Mytilus edulis: one gene and its partner. The protein of the gene in region 1 binds, or shares a complex with, the protein of each later gene. Links are inferred from orthologs where the notes say so. Each region holds a gene or a part of one and is shown on either strand. Other genes may lie near its edges. The genes, in order: H/ACA ribonucleoprotein complex subunit DKC1-like and H/ACA ribonucleoprotein complex subunit 2-like protein.

The links.
Region 2: H/ACA ribonucleoprotein complex subunit DKC1-like (region 1) and H/ACA ribonucleoprotein complex subunit 2-like protein share a complex: the UniProt entries of both Drosophila melanogaster proteins name them as parts of the box H/ACA small nucleolar ribonucleoprotein (H/ACA snoRNP) complex. The link is inferred for Mytilus edulis from reciprocal best matches to the Drosophila melanogaster genes Nop60B and NHP2.

What each region holds. Positions count from the first base shown.
Region 1 is NC_092346.1:91,534,255-91,542,990, reverse strand, and holds the start of H/ACA ribonucleoprotein complex subunit DKC1-like, read left to right. Parts: upstream 1-4,773; 5' UTR 4,774-4,872; coding exon 4,873-4,888; intron 4,889-7,826; coding exon 7,827-7,858; intron 7,859-8,736. UniProt on the Drosophila melanogaster protein: Catalytic subunit of the box H/ACA small nucleolar ribonucleoprotein (H/ACA snoRNP) complex, which catalyzes pseudouridylation of rRNA. This involves the isomerization of uridine such that the ribose is subsequently attached to C5, instead of the normal N1.
Region 2 is NC_092347.1:73,994,797-74,003,074, forward strand, and holds the start of H/ACA ribonucleoprotein complex subunit 2-like protein, read left to right. Parts: upstream 1-4,932; 5' UTR 4,933-5,009; coding exon 5,010-5,178; intron 5,179-6,829; coding exon 6,830-6,899; intron 6,900-7,504; coding exon 7,505-7,610; intron 7,611-8,278. Other genes in the region: ADAM 17-like protease, read right to left, coding at 297-385, 1,088-1,215, 2,087-2,216, 4,767-4,824. UniProt on the Drosophila melanogaster protein: Component of the box H/ACA small nucleolar ribonucleoprotein (H/ACA snoRNP) complex, which catalyzes pseudouridylation of rRNA. This involves the isomerization of uridine such that the ribose is subsequently attached to C5, instead of the normal N1.

The DNA of each region.
Region 1 (8,736 bases):
ATTATTCTGCAACCAAAGTATGGAATAATTTACCACTCCAAATAAAATCAAAGCCTTAAAGGCTGTAAAAGCAATTGCTGCCATGTTAATGTTTGGGGACTTTTATTTTTCATCCACATATATACAAGAATTAAACCTGACATGAGTGTTGTCTAGTTAAAAGTAAGAAGGTTTTAACTTTATATAAATAAAAGACTTTAGCAGAAAGTCATTTTTAATATGTTTTATATTTCACAAGGAGACAACACGTTTACCAGGCTAAAGTTGGGGTCAAATATACATGTGCTGAAACATATAACTCAAAAAGAAATCATCATGGATTATCCCCTGGTAGTGTTTGTAACTTCCTTGACAATAATTTCCTTTATTGATTTAATTTTAATAATTGTCATTATTAATTTATATTTAACCATTAACACAAATGATTAAGTTAAAACATTTCAACTTTCCAGACGCAAATGTTAAAAAACGGGAAAGAAATAAAATATCTTACAAGACATAAACATGTAAAGAATAAATGTATATTTCAGCTTAATAAAAATATTTTCATAATGTTACTTTGTCATCATTTTTAAAACTAAGTTCCAAACATTATTGCTCAGTTGATATGTGTCCTTCTGATGCGGTACGAGCACAGGCACTTGTTTCTATCCATAGGAAGCTTAAGGTCGATTATCCATATAAATAGTTTTATATGGATAGTCGACCTTCCTATGGATAGAAACAAGTGCATGTGGGTACGAGATAACTACAATTCTCATGCAATCCCGAAAAGGGGGGTCATCACAGACAAACATGACATTAAATCGTTATCACTGAACTAGTATATATATTGTATAGGGGCCAGCTGAAGGACGCCTCCGGATGCGGGAATTTTTCGCTGCATTGAAGACCTGTTGGTGACCTTAATTCTGCTGTTGTATGTTTTTCTATGGTCGGGTTGTTGTCTCTTTGACAAATTCCACATTTCCATTCTCAATTTTATTATACGAACAAGAACAAACAGCTCTACGTTGCTTTGATATTTATCAATTTTCAGGAAACATAATTATAGATTATCGTTGATCATCTCAACGAGATTGATTTTCTCGCTTGAGCCGGCACGGCGAAAGCGAGAAAGGCAATCAAGTTGAGATAACCAATGATAATCTGTTTATCGCTATTTTACCTATGACGACGTTGTCAATTTCATGTCATTTCGTTAGCAACGCCACGTGCCTGCTTAGTTTCTTGCGATAATTTTCCATCTCAAGCGAGTAGCATGATATGAAAATTATCACAAAAAAGATCAGAGGAAAAATGCACAAAATAGCGATAAAATTGCTAACACGGTGGAACGTCGAGTGTCAACAAACGTAGTAGACTTGTTCACTGAAAAGACGAGGATAATGGTTTCATCTGACATTTGTTATGCAAACCCAGTTTTGATCATGATATTTAAAAAGACATACTTTTTTTCAATTTATGTATTAATAAACTAGAATATTCCAAATTGTAAATATCTCTTCATCTGGACCGACTTGGCATCTACTACGTTTGGACGGGTCCATTTCATTAGTAAGGTGATCGTTAAATATTACGGAGTTTCGACAGAAAAGGAAAACAAACTTATTGTTATGTGTTTTCAACAAGGGTTTCGTTCCGCTAAATTATTTGCGCAAATAAAGTTTGTCTATTTTTAGATTACAGGTAATAATTTGACACTACGCATTAACCTGTGTAGTGATTTTGATTTTACGATAAATGTATGAATGAACGATAATTTTATGAATGAACAAGAGCACCTGACCTCTTAAAGAAACACAAATTAAACATAAAAAAAACGTATTTATTAGGAGATAATTCAGTTAAATTTTCAATACTAAATCAACAACTGAAATGAATCCATATTTTGTTGAAACATCGTACGAACGGCGGAAAACGGAATCGCATTTTAATATAAAAATGTACTTTTTTTCACTCGGACTTCTATGTTCTTTGATAGTCAAACGGTTGACCCTTTAAATACAAAAATACATCTACAAGAACATATTCTGAAACTTCTTAAATCCACTAACTTTTTTTTTAAGTTTCAAGCTATGTATTGCATTAGAAAACATACATAGGTGTTAAAGAATGACTGACAAGGAGCCTGTTTAACAAAATACTATAAATTGATCTGGGCGGAGTCTCTGATCTGGGTCACAAAGATGGCCATACGCGACGGCATAAAAGCAATTGCTTTAAAAATGTTGTAATGTGGAATTATTCAAGAAACATTGTTATAATCATTTTCTTGAAAATTATATGCAAATCAAATAATTTGTTTTCCTTTAACAAAACTTTATCAAATATTGCCATTTATTACCATTTTATTTGAATAATTGAAATGTGTATATACTAGTAATATATATTGTATTTTAATGTATGAATGTATGAATGTTAACTGTATGCATGCATAGGCGGATCCAGGGGGGCCTGGGCCCCCCCTTTGGTGGGAAAAATTTGGTTGATTATATAGGGAATCATTGAAGCATGACTGGAGCGGGCCCCCCTAGGTCAGTCAGCGGGCCTCCCCTTAGGAAAAGTTCTAGATCCGCCACTGGCATGTATTTTGTTTGAGGGCCTAAAATAAGAAAAATAAGACTAGTTCTAATTGAGTGACCCTCTTTAAATAAAGAATTTATTATTATTACTATTATAATGAAAACAGGTGAAATCTAGATGAATTTATAATTTTCAGGTCTGATAACTTAAATGAAAAAAAAATAATAAAAAAAAAATGATTAAATTATTAATATTGAAATCAAATGATGTTTCATTTAATTGAAATATATATAATTGTACAAATGTAAATAAATTATTTATTATGACATGTTATTTTCGTATTATTGGAGAATAACTTAAAATGTAGCTTAGTTTTTTGTACATATTTTATCTATGAGGGGGCTGATGGGTTATTTCCGTTCTTCGTGATCGGCGCATTTTCGCTATCGTGATCCGTTTTTCTACAGATTTATTTTTCGTGATTCGTGATGAAACCATTGTTCGTGAATCGTTTTCATTGGAATTTTATGTTCGTTCTTCGTGATTGAGACATATTTTTCGTTTTCGTGATTCAGAATCAGATGTGGACTACACTGAAGAAACGGACAATGTTATTGACACCCCAGAATGTCTTAGTTTTCTTCAAGGGACAACCAGCAGGAGTGGGAGAACAATCAGGCTCAGCAGTAAATTTTATTGACAAAATAAATATATATACTTTATAATCTCTTAGTTTAGCCTCAAGATAAAACACAGATGTGGTTCCGTGGTATTTACGCCAGTAAAACATTTCTATGAAATATTATTATTATACAATAAAAGAAGTCAGAATGTGACTGTTTTTAACGATTTAATTTAGAACCTGGGAGAATTCAACATGTAAACAAGTAATGAGCCAGTAATGCATTTGATTGTAGCTTAATTGCACCAAACAACCAGCTTCTGAATCTCTATTATCGAGATTGATTGGTGATACTCTTTTTATATTTTCGTGATCCGTGATCATGGAAATTTATTTTCTGTGACTCGTGATTGACAAAAAAATCAACTCGTGAATCGTGATGAGACCCCCCCATCAGGCCCCTCATCTATAAGTGGGGTGAGTTGGCAGACAAAATTCAATGGCATTACTTTCTTTTTCATAAGTGGAGCGAGTTGGCATTTACATCACAGAAATGCTGATAATCACGTCTTTCTGCTTTATTTAAACAAAACCAAAAAACTACTAAAACATGTTTATCTATGGTTTTCAAAGATATTGATTTTATTGATAAGTGGGACAGGAACATACATTGTAGATATACATGTACAATGAGATTGCATATTTTTTCATAAGTGGGGCAAGTTGGCATTACTAAATTCGTTATGGTTTACCTATTTGTCATGAGAGGGGCGAGTTGGCAGACCTTATTTCAGCAGGATTTAAACCCTTTTCATTAGTGGGGCAAGTAATCCAACTTATTTTAAATGGGATTTTACCCTTTTTCATATTAAGGGCGATTTGGTAAACAAGAGTAGTGCTATTTTTTAGAAAGTGGGGCAAGTTGGTGAAAACATGGGGCGATTTTCTATGGATTCGTATAATTCATTACCAAAAGGAATAACCAGGAAGAACATTTCATTGTTTACAATACACCTTATCACTATTTGTCCGCCATTGCTGGATATCCCACAGGTTCCCGTAAAATTTTGACGTCATAAAACAAAATATCTGACGCCACAATGGAAAAGTTATTGTTGTATGCGTCAAAAGTTCAAGCGGTCGGGTCAGCCGGGATTAGCAATAAGGTGTATGCCAAGTATGTCATAGGCAATGGGACCAACATCAGATATGTTTCCACTACCACTGAGTAAGATGCCTTATTTTATGTAAATTTATGTAAATGCTGTCGTCGAACTATTTCTGTGAAAAATACTCTAAGTTTAAGCGTTGTGACATCGGAAATATATATGAAACATGAAATTATTTTGATGTCGTTTGTTTACATTTGCTTACACTTACAGGGAAAAGTGCCCCTTGCTACTGATGATATTTTACCCCTCCCTTATACTTTTAGCATCCAAAGAGGAATCTGAAATCTCAAGACTCGAGAGATGTACAGTAAAATCTACCAAAACCTCCAGCACTATTGCGAATTTTTTGTTGATTGAGGCATTTTCCAATTTTTCGCCAATTCAGTAAATCAATGTATTGAACAATCGATGAAACGAGATGTAAAAGGATATAAACTGAAACGCTTAACTAACTTAGATTGTGTCATCGGAGTTCTCTTGACTTTACATAATCTTCTCTGTTCTCTTGACTTTTCGTTAAATACAATTACAAACACGTGTTGAAAACAGACCATGGCCGACACAAGCGGTATTTTGAATTTGTATTTTTTCTAATTACATCTCACAGGAATATGATGATGCCCTTGTCAGCATTTGTCAATCATGTTTTTGCTTATTGAAACATAATACTAACGTTGCACTGTTGCATATTTGGCAGAATACATTTTAAACACAAACAACAGTGGGACACAACTACATGCCTAACACCTGAACACGTGGTGTGCCAAATTTTTTTTTTTTTTAAATCGCTTAATTGCATTTATTTGTTAAAGTACATTGATGTCATTACTTTGATAATCAAATACTGGCTATTGTCATTTTTCTATTGATATGTCTTATGCTTGAAAATTGTGTTTTACACAGCTGATTCAGTGATTGTTTTGCCAGTTTATTTATCATAATAATATTGTATTGTATTGTATGTATCAGCTCTTGTGTAATTGTAATGCTATTTTATTCTATTGTTTTGATGTTGTCTTCCTACTTTATCATTAAGGCGAAGCCTTTAAATATTTAGCTTGACATCGAAAGGAAATTTTGCCTAGTCCAATAATAATTGACTTGTCTTATGCCGACAAGTTGGACAGAATCCAATTGCACCAACTAATATAGCTGCGGAACTGAAGCTCATAGGTCCTTATGTTATTATTTGACTTTTTGCAGACCATAGAGCTACCGATTTTTCCTATTTCAAAATGTTAGGAATTGCGACCCAGGTCCAGGTCGCACTTATTTCCCCAAAAAATATTGTTTATAATCCATGCAAAGCTTGTCAATGAATATAATAGGCGAGAATGTATACAAATAGGATAAATTAGATAGTGTTAAGAAATGAATATTCAAACATAAATAGGTACGTCATGTCCTAGAAAAATGTCTATGAAACGAACTATATTCATTGACGAGCTTTGCATGGATTATAAACAATTTTTTGAGGGAAATAAGTGCGACCTGAACCTGGGTCGCAATTCCGAACATTTTGAAATAGAAATTTTTTTTAGCTCTACGGTCCACAAAAAGTCAAAAATAACATGAGGACCTATGAGCTACGGTTCTTCAGCTACAACTTATAAGAATACTCCAAAAATATTTTCATAAATAACGAGCACTAGCAAAATCACTGGCATGTTTGTCATTTTTTGTCATAATGTACAAGTGACAAGAGCCCATGATTGGTATAATAAATTAATGTCTAATGTGAAAATACATATATACTTGGTCTGAGTTTGTCATGATAATACTTAATTTCTGTAAGCAAGTACAGCTTATTGCATACACACAATATAAATAGACAATAGACAAATATAAAGCATAATATTACATTTACACAATAAATTATTTAAATCGATGAAAGAATTAAGACAATTGATTTTTGTTCTTCTGGCTTTCCATAGTGTTTTAAATTTCATTAAGACTGAACGTAAGGGAATGTTTTCTTCAAAGTTGAAATATTCTAGCAAACAAAATATTTCTGGAAGTAAAGAAGTTTAGTTACCGTAGATACTCGCCTATTAGTCGATCCGACTATAAGTCGGATGCCCTTTTCAGCTCCAAATTCTGAGGATTTAGTCTTGACCCTCGTATAAGTCGGACAAAATTTGGACATTTTTTTTGCAGTTGACAGTTACTGAACGCCGGTAAAACCAATGCAAATCCAGGAATTATATTCATTTTCTGCATGAATGTTTGTTTGGTTTGGATTTAGTTGATGTTGATTATGATAATTTATATAGCTGTTAATAATAAAGATTTATTTATTCCTGTTGTTTTGTTCACTGTTTGATTACAGATTAGCCATGTGTTGTTTACGTAATGCATCAATGATTTTGTAGGGTATGACTAACAACCTATTGTTTGAGAAAAGCGAGCATAAACCAATATGAACCTGAAAAAATTTAAAGTAAATCAATATTTTTCACAGCACACATAACTCAGTGTTAAAGGAGCATGTACACTTCATAATTCTTATTATATTGTGATGATTAAAGGATTAAAAAAAATTAAGTGAAGCTAATCAACTTTATATTAAAATAAATCCCAACTCATTAGTGTCATCTGTTCACCTATCACTGATATTTTTCACACCTTTAGTGAATACAACTCTTTGTCTCTTAATTAGGGGTTATCAATGGATTATATTGGCTTGCCAATCAATTTTGTAATCTTTGTGTTTACCTGTGACATTTTAATGAATAATATTTTGATCTTGGGAATGAATCTTAAAATTATTTTTTATTATTGTATGATTTATAAGTATTAAATTGATATCATGATATCACAATAATGACACAATAACTCCGCTGAATACATCCTTTTACATAGTTGGTACATTGTTATCTCGTTTTCATTTTTGGTTCTTGGCTTTCTTTTGGGTTTATGCACAAACCATTTGACCATAAAAATCAATACACAAACCGGAAACAGTCGAAAATTCAACACAAATTGACAGAAAACGGTTAACAGAGAACAAATAAAACACAAAGATAGTATTGTAGTCATTTATTTTCAACAAAAACTTTTAATTTAGGGATTTATGTAGGTTTGGCAATCAATGACGTAGTTTTGACCAGGAAATTCACTCCTGACCACTTTTCTCGAGCTTGGATTTTTTCTCTGGTCGCTGGATCTCGCTTATAAGTCGGTACCCCTCTCTGGATTCTGAATTTTACTCCCAAACTTCCGACTTATAAGCGAGTACCTACGGTACTGAACTACAGGATACACATGTATATCAAAAAATGTTTGTTTGCTTCTTGAAGATACAATTCCAGCCAAAATTACCATGACTTACTTTTTGAAATTAAATAGCTAAATCCTTCACTTTTGAAAAGTAAAAAATATATTTTGCTTGCACAATACTTTTTACATGTTGATTACACAGACACCACATGTTAGAAGGAACCTAATCCAAGGTTATCTGAACTTTGTTTTAATCCCTTAATTTTGTTATTCTTTTTTGTTTTCAGCTAAGAAAAAGAAGAAACAAGAAAGTATAGCAGTAAGTGATATTCAAATTTGGATTGAATTTTTATACTTCAATGTACACCAGTTGTCTCCTGGCCTTGGTCTAACTTAGAATTTCATTAGCGTTAGTTTTAGCCCAATTAACTTCACAGCAACTATGGTTTGAACAATTTTTTCAATATCCACTAATTTAACTTGCAAAACCCTTTGGAAAGAACAAGAATCGTAAGAGTTGTCCAACACACACATATTTTTAGCTCACCTGACCTGAAAGGTCAAGTGAGCTTTTCTCATCACTTGGCGTCCGTCGTCCGTAAACTTTTACAAAAATCTTCTCCTCTGAAACTACTGGGCCAAATTTAACCAAACTTGGCCACAATCATCATTGGGGTATCTAGTTTTAAAAATGTGTAGCGTGACCCTGCCAACCAACCAAGATGTCCGCCACGGCTAAAAATAGAACATGGGGGTAAAATGCAGTTTTTGGCTTATAACTCAAAAACCAAAGCATATAGAGCAAATCTGACAAGGGGTTAAATTGTTGATCAGGTCAAGATCTATCTTCCCCGAAATTTTCAGACGAATCGGATAACCTGTTGTTGGGTTGCTGCCCCTGAATTGGTTATTTTAAGGAAATTTTGCAGTTTTTGGTTATTTTCTTGAATACTATTATAGATAGAGATAAACTGTAAACAGCAATAATGTTCAGCAAATTAAGACCTACAAATAAGTCAGCAAGATCAAAATTGTCAGTCATTCCCTTAAGGAGTTTTTGCCCTTTATAGTCAATTTTTAACAACTTTTCGTCATTTTTTGTAACTTGTACAAAAATCTTCTTCTCTGAAACTACATGGCCAAATTTAACCAAACTTGGCCACAATTATCATTGTGGTATATAGTTTAAAAAACGTG
Region 2 (8,278 bases), on another chromosome or scaffold:
CCATCCACAGAGACAATGTAAATTAGTGTGCCATAGTTCTAATCTAGGCTAGGCATATCCCTTATGTTCATACATTTAATGATGTTCAGAGCTGGCAAGTCGAGGAAAGCTGCATTTTAAACTTTGGTTCACAGCTGCTCATACTCTATATCATTATCTATTCTAGCTAAAAATACTAAAAAAAATATTTTATTATAAATTGTATCCCACATATATCAGGATCTTCTAACTGACTTTTTGATCATAAATGGTGAAATTTTGTCTTTCACATTTTCCAGTTTGATTAGGTCTATTACCTCTATGTAAATGGTATCATGGGGATTTCTTATGGTTGCATGTAAATCATTCCTCTCCCAATGTAACTGTACTTCTGACTCTGAATCACCTAAAAAAATCAGTTGAATAATAATTAATCATCAAATCAGCACAAAGCCTGATAGAAAAAAAAAAATCAACACAAAGCATATAGCATGTCATAATTACTCCTGTCAAATAGAGCATTGTGCATAAGCCACCTTGGAATTGTGTTACTCTAAATTGTTTTATGAAATCAGAAAAGCAAAATAATTTTTGTATTTGTTATTCATAAAAATTTGATAACAAAGTTAATCCTTTTCGGAAATAAATGAATGGATAAGAAGATTACAGGTACAAGCAAAATTCTTAACAGCCATTGGCTCTTTGGTTGAGTTGTTTTTCGACACTTTCACTATTTCTACTCTCAATTTTATTATCATACAAAGGATATCTTAAATAGAGTAGATTCAAACTGAATCTTTCACTATGACTCTCAAGTTATACACAGGTAACAGTTTTAAACTGCAGTCTACTATATTTTATTGTTAAATGTTTTTCTTCAAGCAATATTTTCAGTTTTTTAGTTGACATATTTTAGAAAATCAAGGAATCATTAAAATAATCTTCTCTCGTGCAAACATTTACTCAAAGAACGAGAATCATTAAGAATACCTCATTAATAGCCTAATGATAGGTAATGCATGCATGTTTTCTTTAAAACGTACAAGTTAAAAGTCCAAAATTAAACTGTTTACAGTGGGCATATTGGGTACTAGCATCTTCAACTCACCCTTCAAGGTACCAGTATAAAAGTTTCCAGTGTCAATATCAAGTGGTCTCTCCACTCCATTACTGCTTACCACAGCTTTGAAATCATCAGACACAACTTTAGTTTGCTTCACATACAAATGAAAATTTCTGAAGCAAAAAAAAAATTTTTGTTCACCATTTGTACACACGAGTCACAAAAATCAAATGTTCTAAATAATTATTTTGATATATTTCCTTGTTATGATTTTTTTTAAGTTGCAGAGTGATTAGGTATTACGTTATCAGTTTATAGTGATATATATGATTTAAAAATTTAAAACTTCTGAATAATGTATGAAGCCTATCATGAAGAACCTCACTGTAACTCTAAAATACATTGTTTCTAATTTTGTCATGGCAGGGCTTTTATTGGTGACCATACAGTATGGGTCTATGTTGAAGGTTATAAGGTGACCTTAAGTTGTTCACATCAATGTCATTTGGAATTTATTAAATAATTGTCTCATTGGCAATCATAGTCATGATAGTAATAGCATATCACCTTATTCCTTTTTATAAGTGGTACATGTAAGTGTACCAAACTTGAATTTTTCACCTAATGTTTGCGTTATATATTACCATGATTACAGATAGGATATATTATTTCTTTTTACTGCTCACTGAAATTCAATATTTTTTATCTTATTTGTCAGATACCACTTTTGTCTGTATAATTTCTAACATTATTACAAATATTTTTTTTGAGTGTTGTTGTTTTTATTGTCGACATAAATATTTGTTTAGTAAATGAGAAATAAATTGCCATACATTTTATATCAATATAAATGGACAACAGTTCTTGTGGATTGAGTGGGGAAAATGTACTTTTATAGATACTTAATTCAAAGGCTTTGATGAATCTAAAAAATAGTATATTGTAAATTTCAACTCATAAATTTGTGGTTCAGGTTAATCATACACTAAAAAATTAATGACAAATCCACAGACTTTACAACATATGTACAAAACAAAACCATACCTCCCTAAAGATGAGAACCAAATTTCATGCAGGTGAGAACTTGGGTGTGGATCCACACTTCGTCTTACACGCTTATTTATATCAACTGTCTTCAGGGTCTCAAAATAGTCCAAATTACTTGATATATCAGCTGAAAAAGAAGATATAAAGTCCATTCCCAATGTGAGTTTGATTTGAAAAAATTAGGAAAAAAAATCCGAAATTTTAATGTACAAAAATCAAATTTTAACACCTAAAAGAAAATAAAAAGAGGGTGCAATGCCTCAACAATACTCAAGGGCCTGTGAATGGGTGACCAGTTGACTTTTTGTTAAACAGATCATTTAGATATTTCTATATTTTATTTTAAAGTCTAAGTTGACATAAAAGTCAATAATGACACAAGGTAAAATGCTTTTTCTATAATTTCAACTTGTGACTAAAATTGATTTTATCTTATCAAATTATTAAACCCCTTTTTGGTTTTATAAAACGAAGAATAATTGACCAGGGTTTTCAAGAACATGCAGAGCAAATATTTCAGCATCTCCAAAATTAGTTTTTCCAGAGTGTTTACATCATACCTGTCAACTGACCCGGATTCTGCGGGTGTGACCCGAGATTTTCACAATTCTGAGGGATCACCCGGATCACCCGCCGGTAAACTTTACATTAGAATGAACTTGCAGATTGTGTTGATGCTTTAAGAAATAGATCAGATGTAATAAGCATTGGGTATAAGTTTCATAACATTTGGTTGAGGCAACTAAAGTTTAAGAACAGAAACTAAACATTTTGCATTTTTTCCCATTTATAAAGGTGCATAACTCGAGAATGGTTAAAGTGACCCCACCATAATTCAAACTTGATCTGTATTTTGTGGTAATAAGCATTGTGTATAAGTTTAATAATATTTGGTTGAGCGAACTTAAGTTAAAGAACGAAAACTAAAATTTTTGTAATTTTTCCATTTAAAACAGGGTATAACTTCAGAACCATACACCTCATCGTTATTTCTGGCTGAATGGAGAATCTGTCCCATTTGAACTATTGACGTCAAACAACAATTACTTTTCCATTTGCATGTACATGATAGCGCCATAGTACCGGGATATTCCACTCTGGCACCGAAGTCTTTCCCGTACCAGGAAGTATCAGGTTCGTTCACGCCCAATACACTTTCGCACCCTACACGTTATCACCTCGCACTTTCGCACCCAAGGTCCGTTCACACTCTACATGTTTGCGCCCGATTTTTATTCAAATTCCAGTTGAATAATTGGAAAATCATGATTGTTGTTATAAATTGCTTTGGTGTAAATAAAACATTCAAGATTTTAAATGAAAACACAAAAGATAATTGTTTTTAACAGCTTGGTCCCTTTAATCTGAAACAATAAAATAAAGCGATACACTATTATAACCAAAACATGATAAAATTTATTCAACACACACAAAAAAACGTAGTCAGAATCACACTTTATTTTGAAACAAGTCAATGAAACAAAGTTACATGTATAGCAATACACTAACCAAAACATGATTAAGAGTTATTCAACACAAAATAAAACGTTGACAGAATCCCACTTTATTTAGAAAGGATTATTTTTTTTTTTAACAATACACTATCCAAAACATGACTAAGATTTATTCAACACAAAAAAAAATGCTGTCTCACTTTATTTTGAATCAATGACAACAAATATAAGAACACACTTGCCAAAACTTGATTACAAAGATATAGTTATTAAACACAAAACCAATTAAAATTGGGCGCGAACATGTAGGGTGCGAAAGTGAAAGGGGGCGAACATGAGTGGGTGCGAATGTGAATCAGCGCGAAAGGACCTAGATTCGTACTACGATTGAAGAAGAAAAAGGGATATCCTTCCCATTGCATTTGGAGATTTTGAAAGTTGCTTTTTTTATACAGGTTGGGAACAAACCCCCTGTATGGTGATTATACCTCTATAGAGGGATAATCCTTCTATAGAGGGGTAAAATTATCCCTCTATAGAGGGGTATTTTTGTTTAGACTGAATTTAAATCAAAATAGGGCAGAATGGCATTCTCTACTTATTATGGCAGTAACCTGGAACAGTTGATGCACCAATTGATGTACTTAATTAAATATGCACATGCCCAGTTTGATGCTTATCTGACTAAATATAAAATCTATTGTTCACCATGATTGAAAGCTGTGATGATCAGGTAAATTCTACTCACTTATGCCTCACTGAACAGAATTTCTATTGTTAGATTTAAAATGAAATTTAAAGGTCAACTATTCCCTTTGTTGTTGATCAGGTGTTCAAATAGGTTTACAATAGATTGCATGTTTTGTCACTTTAGCAGAAAACTGGTTATCCCAATTTTTAGTAAAGTGCATATGTTGATGCATATAATGCTAGAGATTAGAGCCAATATAACTAGAAAATGCCATTCTGCCCTAATTTGCTTTAAATCCAGTGCAAACAAAAATAACCCTCTATAGAGGGATAATTTTACCCCTCTATAGAAGGATTATTCCTCTATAGAGGTATAATCCCCATACAGGGGGTTTGTTCCCAACCTGTTATAGTTCAATAGTTGGCACCTTTTATATGTGTTATGGAAATTACCAACATGGATAGTTGTTTTTCTGAAAAATCTTCCCTTCAAGATGGAAGAAATGTATTTTGTGTGTATATTCAATAATTACCTCTACTCGAAAATACACAAAAAGAAGAAATAATGATAACCGAAAGTAGTTTTTCCATCACAGCCTATATTATCTGGTACCTTGTATACAATTTTGTGTGGTGTAAAGAAACCAGTTCAAAGTCTGGATCGCCCGTGTGATTTTAGATTGCAGTATTTTCATCAATGTTAAAAGCTATTTTTATCACTTTAGCACGTGGAGGGACCAAAAATACAAAACAAACTCTAAAAAGCACGCTGTGAAATGGGAAAATCAAGCAAAGAAAAACGAAGATCTGAGGTAGAGGATGAAGCAGGGGACGGAGGTGACAGTAAAGAAATATGGCAAGAGAAAATCAAGTACCAGAGTTCTATTTCCCAGCCGTTAGCCCCAAGAAAATTGACAAAAAGAATTTACAAAGCTGTTAAGAAAGGTACATGTACATGTAGCTAAGAATGAGATTGTTTAAATGTTATTCTCTGTTGTTTCTGTGCTTAATGAATGACTTATGTTCATAATAGAGCTTTCTTTAATAAAATATTTTGTAATGCCGACTACTGGTTCATCATAAATTATAAATGGACAAAAGTGGCTGTGTTAGACCTCACAAATTGTCTACCCTTTGAGTACAGACTAAACTGTCCCGTTGGAAAAGACTATCAACTGGCAGTAGATCATACCCGTAGCCCGAAACCCCCCCCCCCCCCTTGAAATCAAATAAGCACTTTTAAAGCCAACGTTTTGTTCAAATTGTGACTTAAAGTCGAGTTCACAAGTCCAATGAACCCCCCCTTGGAAATTCCTGGCTACAGGCCTGTAGATGATAACAATGTTAATATGACCTCACACTCTATTATTATGCAGAAGTTATAAGAGGGGCGGAAAGGGACACAGGCACTTGTTTCTATCCATACGAAGGTCGACTATCCATATCTATTTATATGGATAGTCGACCTTCGTATGGATAGAAACAAGTGCCTGTGGAAAGGGAGGGTATCTGCACGGAAGAACGCAAAATAAAATTGCCATTTCATGACAAGCGAACAATTAAAAATTTCCTGCTCGTTGATCTTTTTAACAAATTTCACAAAACACAGTGAATAATGAACCTTTTTCATGGCTGCACGTGAAATAAAAATGGCAAAACACGTTGCACAAAAATAACCCTTTACCACCCTCTTATAATTGCCCTGTATTACATGGTGGGAAGTTTCCCATGCTGGAATAAAACTTCAACACATCAAAAAAATCTAAAATCACTGGGTTTTCTAAAACAAAATTTAAAAACAACATATCCACACATAAAATCCCAGGCATACCAAGCACTCGTCAGACTCAAACTTGAAAATTCCTGTTCTGTTTGGGACCCTCACACAACCAAGTCTGTATCCAAAATTGAGATGGTCCAACGACGAGCTGCACGGTATGACTGCAATAAATACCATAATACAAGTAGTGTTACAAACATGCTTACGACACTTAACTTACCATCATTAGCAGAACGCAGACCGCATAAGATTGGTAATGATGTACAAAATATAATATCATCTTGTTGCTATTCCATCAGTCATACTCATAAAAGCAGACTCAAGAACAAAAAAAAATGTACACTCTCATATAGGCATATTCTTACATCGAAAGACTCCTACAGACATTCATACTTTCCTTACACAATACCACAGTGGAACCAGCTCCTTGTGGTACTAGTTCAGGCACCATCCATTAATAGCTTCAAAGAACAGCTCACTTCAGCTGTTTTCTGTTCTATTAATTAAAAGTATCAATTTAAATTGTACATAGTTTTAATCACAAATTTAACATTTCATTGCACTTTAATTATATTTCGTTTAAATTAGGGTAAACATGTTGACCACATCTTCCTATATCTATGTAAATAGTCCACGTATGCGAACAGTATGTAATCATCGAAATCAATGAAATATTGTATACCTACAGAAGAAGAAGAAGAAAGTTTATGGAATTTGAAATAGTGAAAATTTTCAGTAAGTTACTAGCTTTAGTTATGTTGCTGTTACAAATCAGTTTGATATGACTATTTCTTTCATGTACTTTTATGTTTTCAGCTTCAAAACAGAAACAATTAAGAAAAGGTGTGAGAGAAGTGCAAAAATTTATTAGAAAAGGAGAAAAGGGGTGAGTACATTTTTGTACATCTGACTTCACAAAAAGTACATGTAGGAAGTTTTTGTTGGACTTGTCAACCAGGAAATGTTAAAATCACTCCTGTTTATCTGACATCACAAAAAGTACAAGTAGGAAATTTTAGGCCACTGCTTACAAAATCATGACTGAGAGCATCACTCATGCAAATACTTTATTATGAATTTTATACCATCTGCTCATCACTCATAGACCACTTATACTCATCATTCATTATATTTATGGCTGTTTACTTCATTGTTTTTATTGTAATAAACAATTTTATTCATATTTTTGTTAAAACAAGGCAATTGTGCCTAACATATATATTACTGAATTCAGGTTAATGTTGTAGAAATCTATTTGTAAGGATATTACCAGAACAAAGGTTATCTGTAAAAAGTAAAGAAACTTGAGAGTTAGCACTCAAATTTAGGCAGTGGGGCAACAGGACATTAATACTTTTAAAAAGTAGGCCTAAGAATGAAGACAAATACTTTTTAAATGACTAATAAGAATTTGTTATTAACTCATACATTCCCTTTAACACAATGGACAACACATATTAACATGACTAATGAGATTTTCTTTTTTACTAGGATTGTTATATTAGCTGGTGATGTAAGCCCAGTTGATGTTATTTGTCACATGCCTTTGGTTTGTGAAGAGGAGGGACTACCATACTGTTACACACCATCAAAAGAGGTATGACTACATTTATGTTGTTGTTTGAAATTTTTAATGCTACAGGTTATGCATCATACCATGATGTATTGGTACATGTCTCTCAAAAAAGAAATTTATCAGTACATGAAAATTCTCTACACTATCTAAAACATTTACCAAATGTAAGACTTGAAATGAAATATTAAAGTTTTTTCCTTTCAAGACGAAGGTTAGACAAAATGATGACAACCGAAACTAGTCAACCGTTGGAAATATAATAACACAGAAACTATGTCAAAAACACAAAACACAAAAAACTTTTTCCAGAAAACAACCACTATCTGACTTTTGGAAGGAATTTAGATTCTACTGGAGGGTAAGCATTTTTATTTGCTTGTACATGTACAACTTCCATACAGAATATTCTGTAAGTGCTTATTCTCTCAGTTTCTTTTAAAAATTGAAATGATACTGGTAAGTGAAAGCAATTTTTAAAAATGAAAAGGTTCTCTCCTGTTACTCCCTCCTGTTACTCCAGCTTCCTCCAGCAGTTAAAACTGACTGCCACAATATAGCTAATTGTGTGGAAAGTGGTGTTAAAGACCACAAATAAATCAATCATTCCTTAAATTCTGGTTTTCATTAGAAAGGTGTATATATATACATGAATATACATTTTTTCATGGATATCACAAAATTTTGAATTG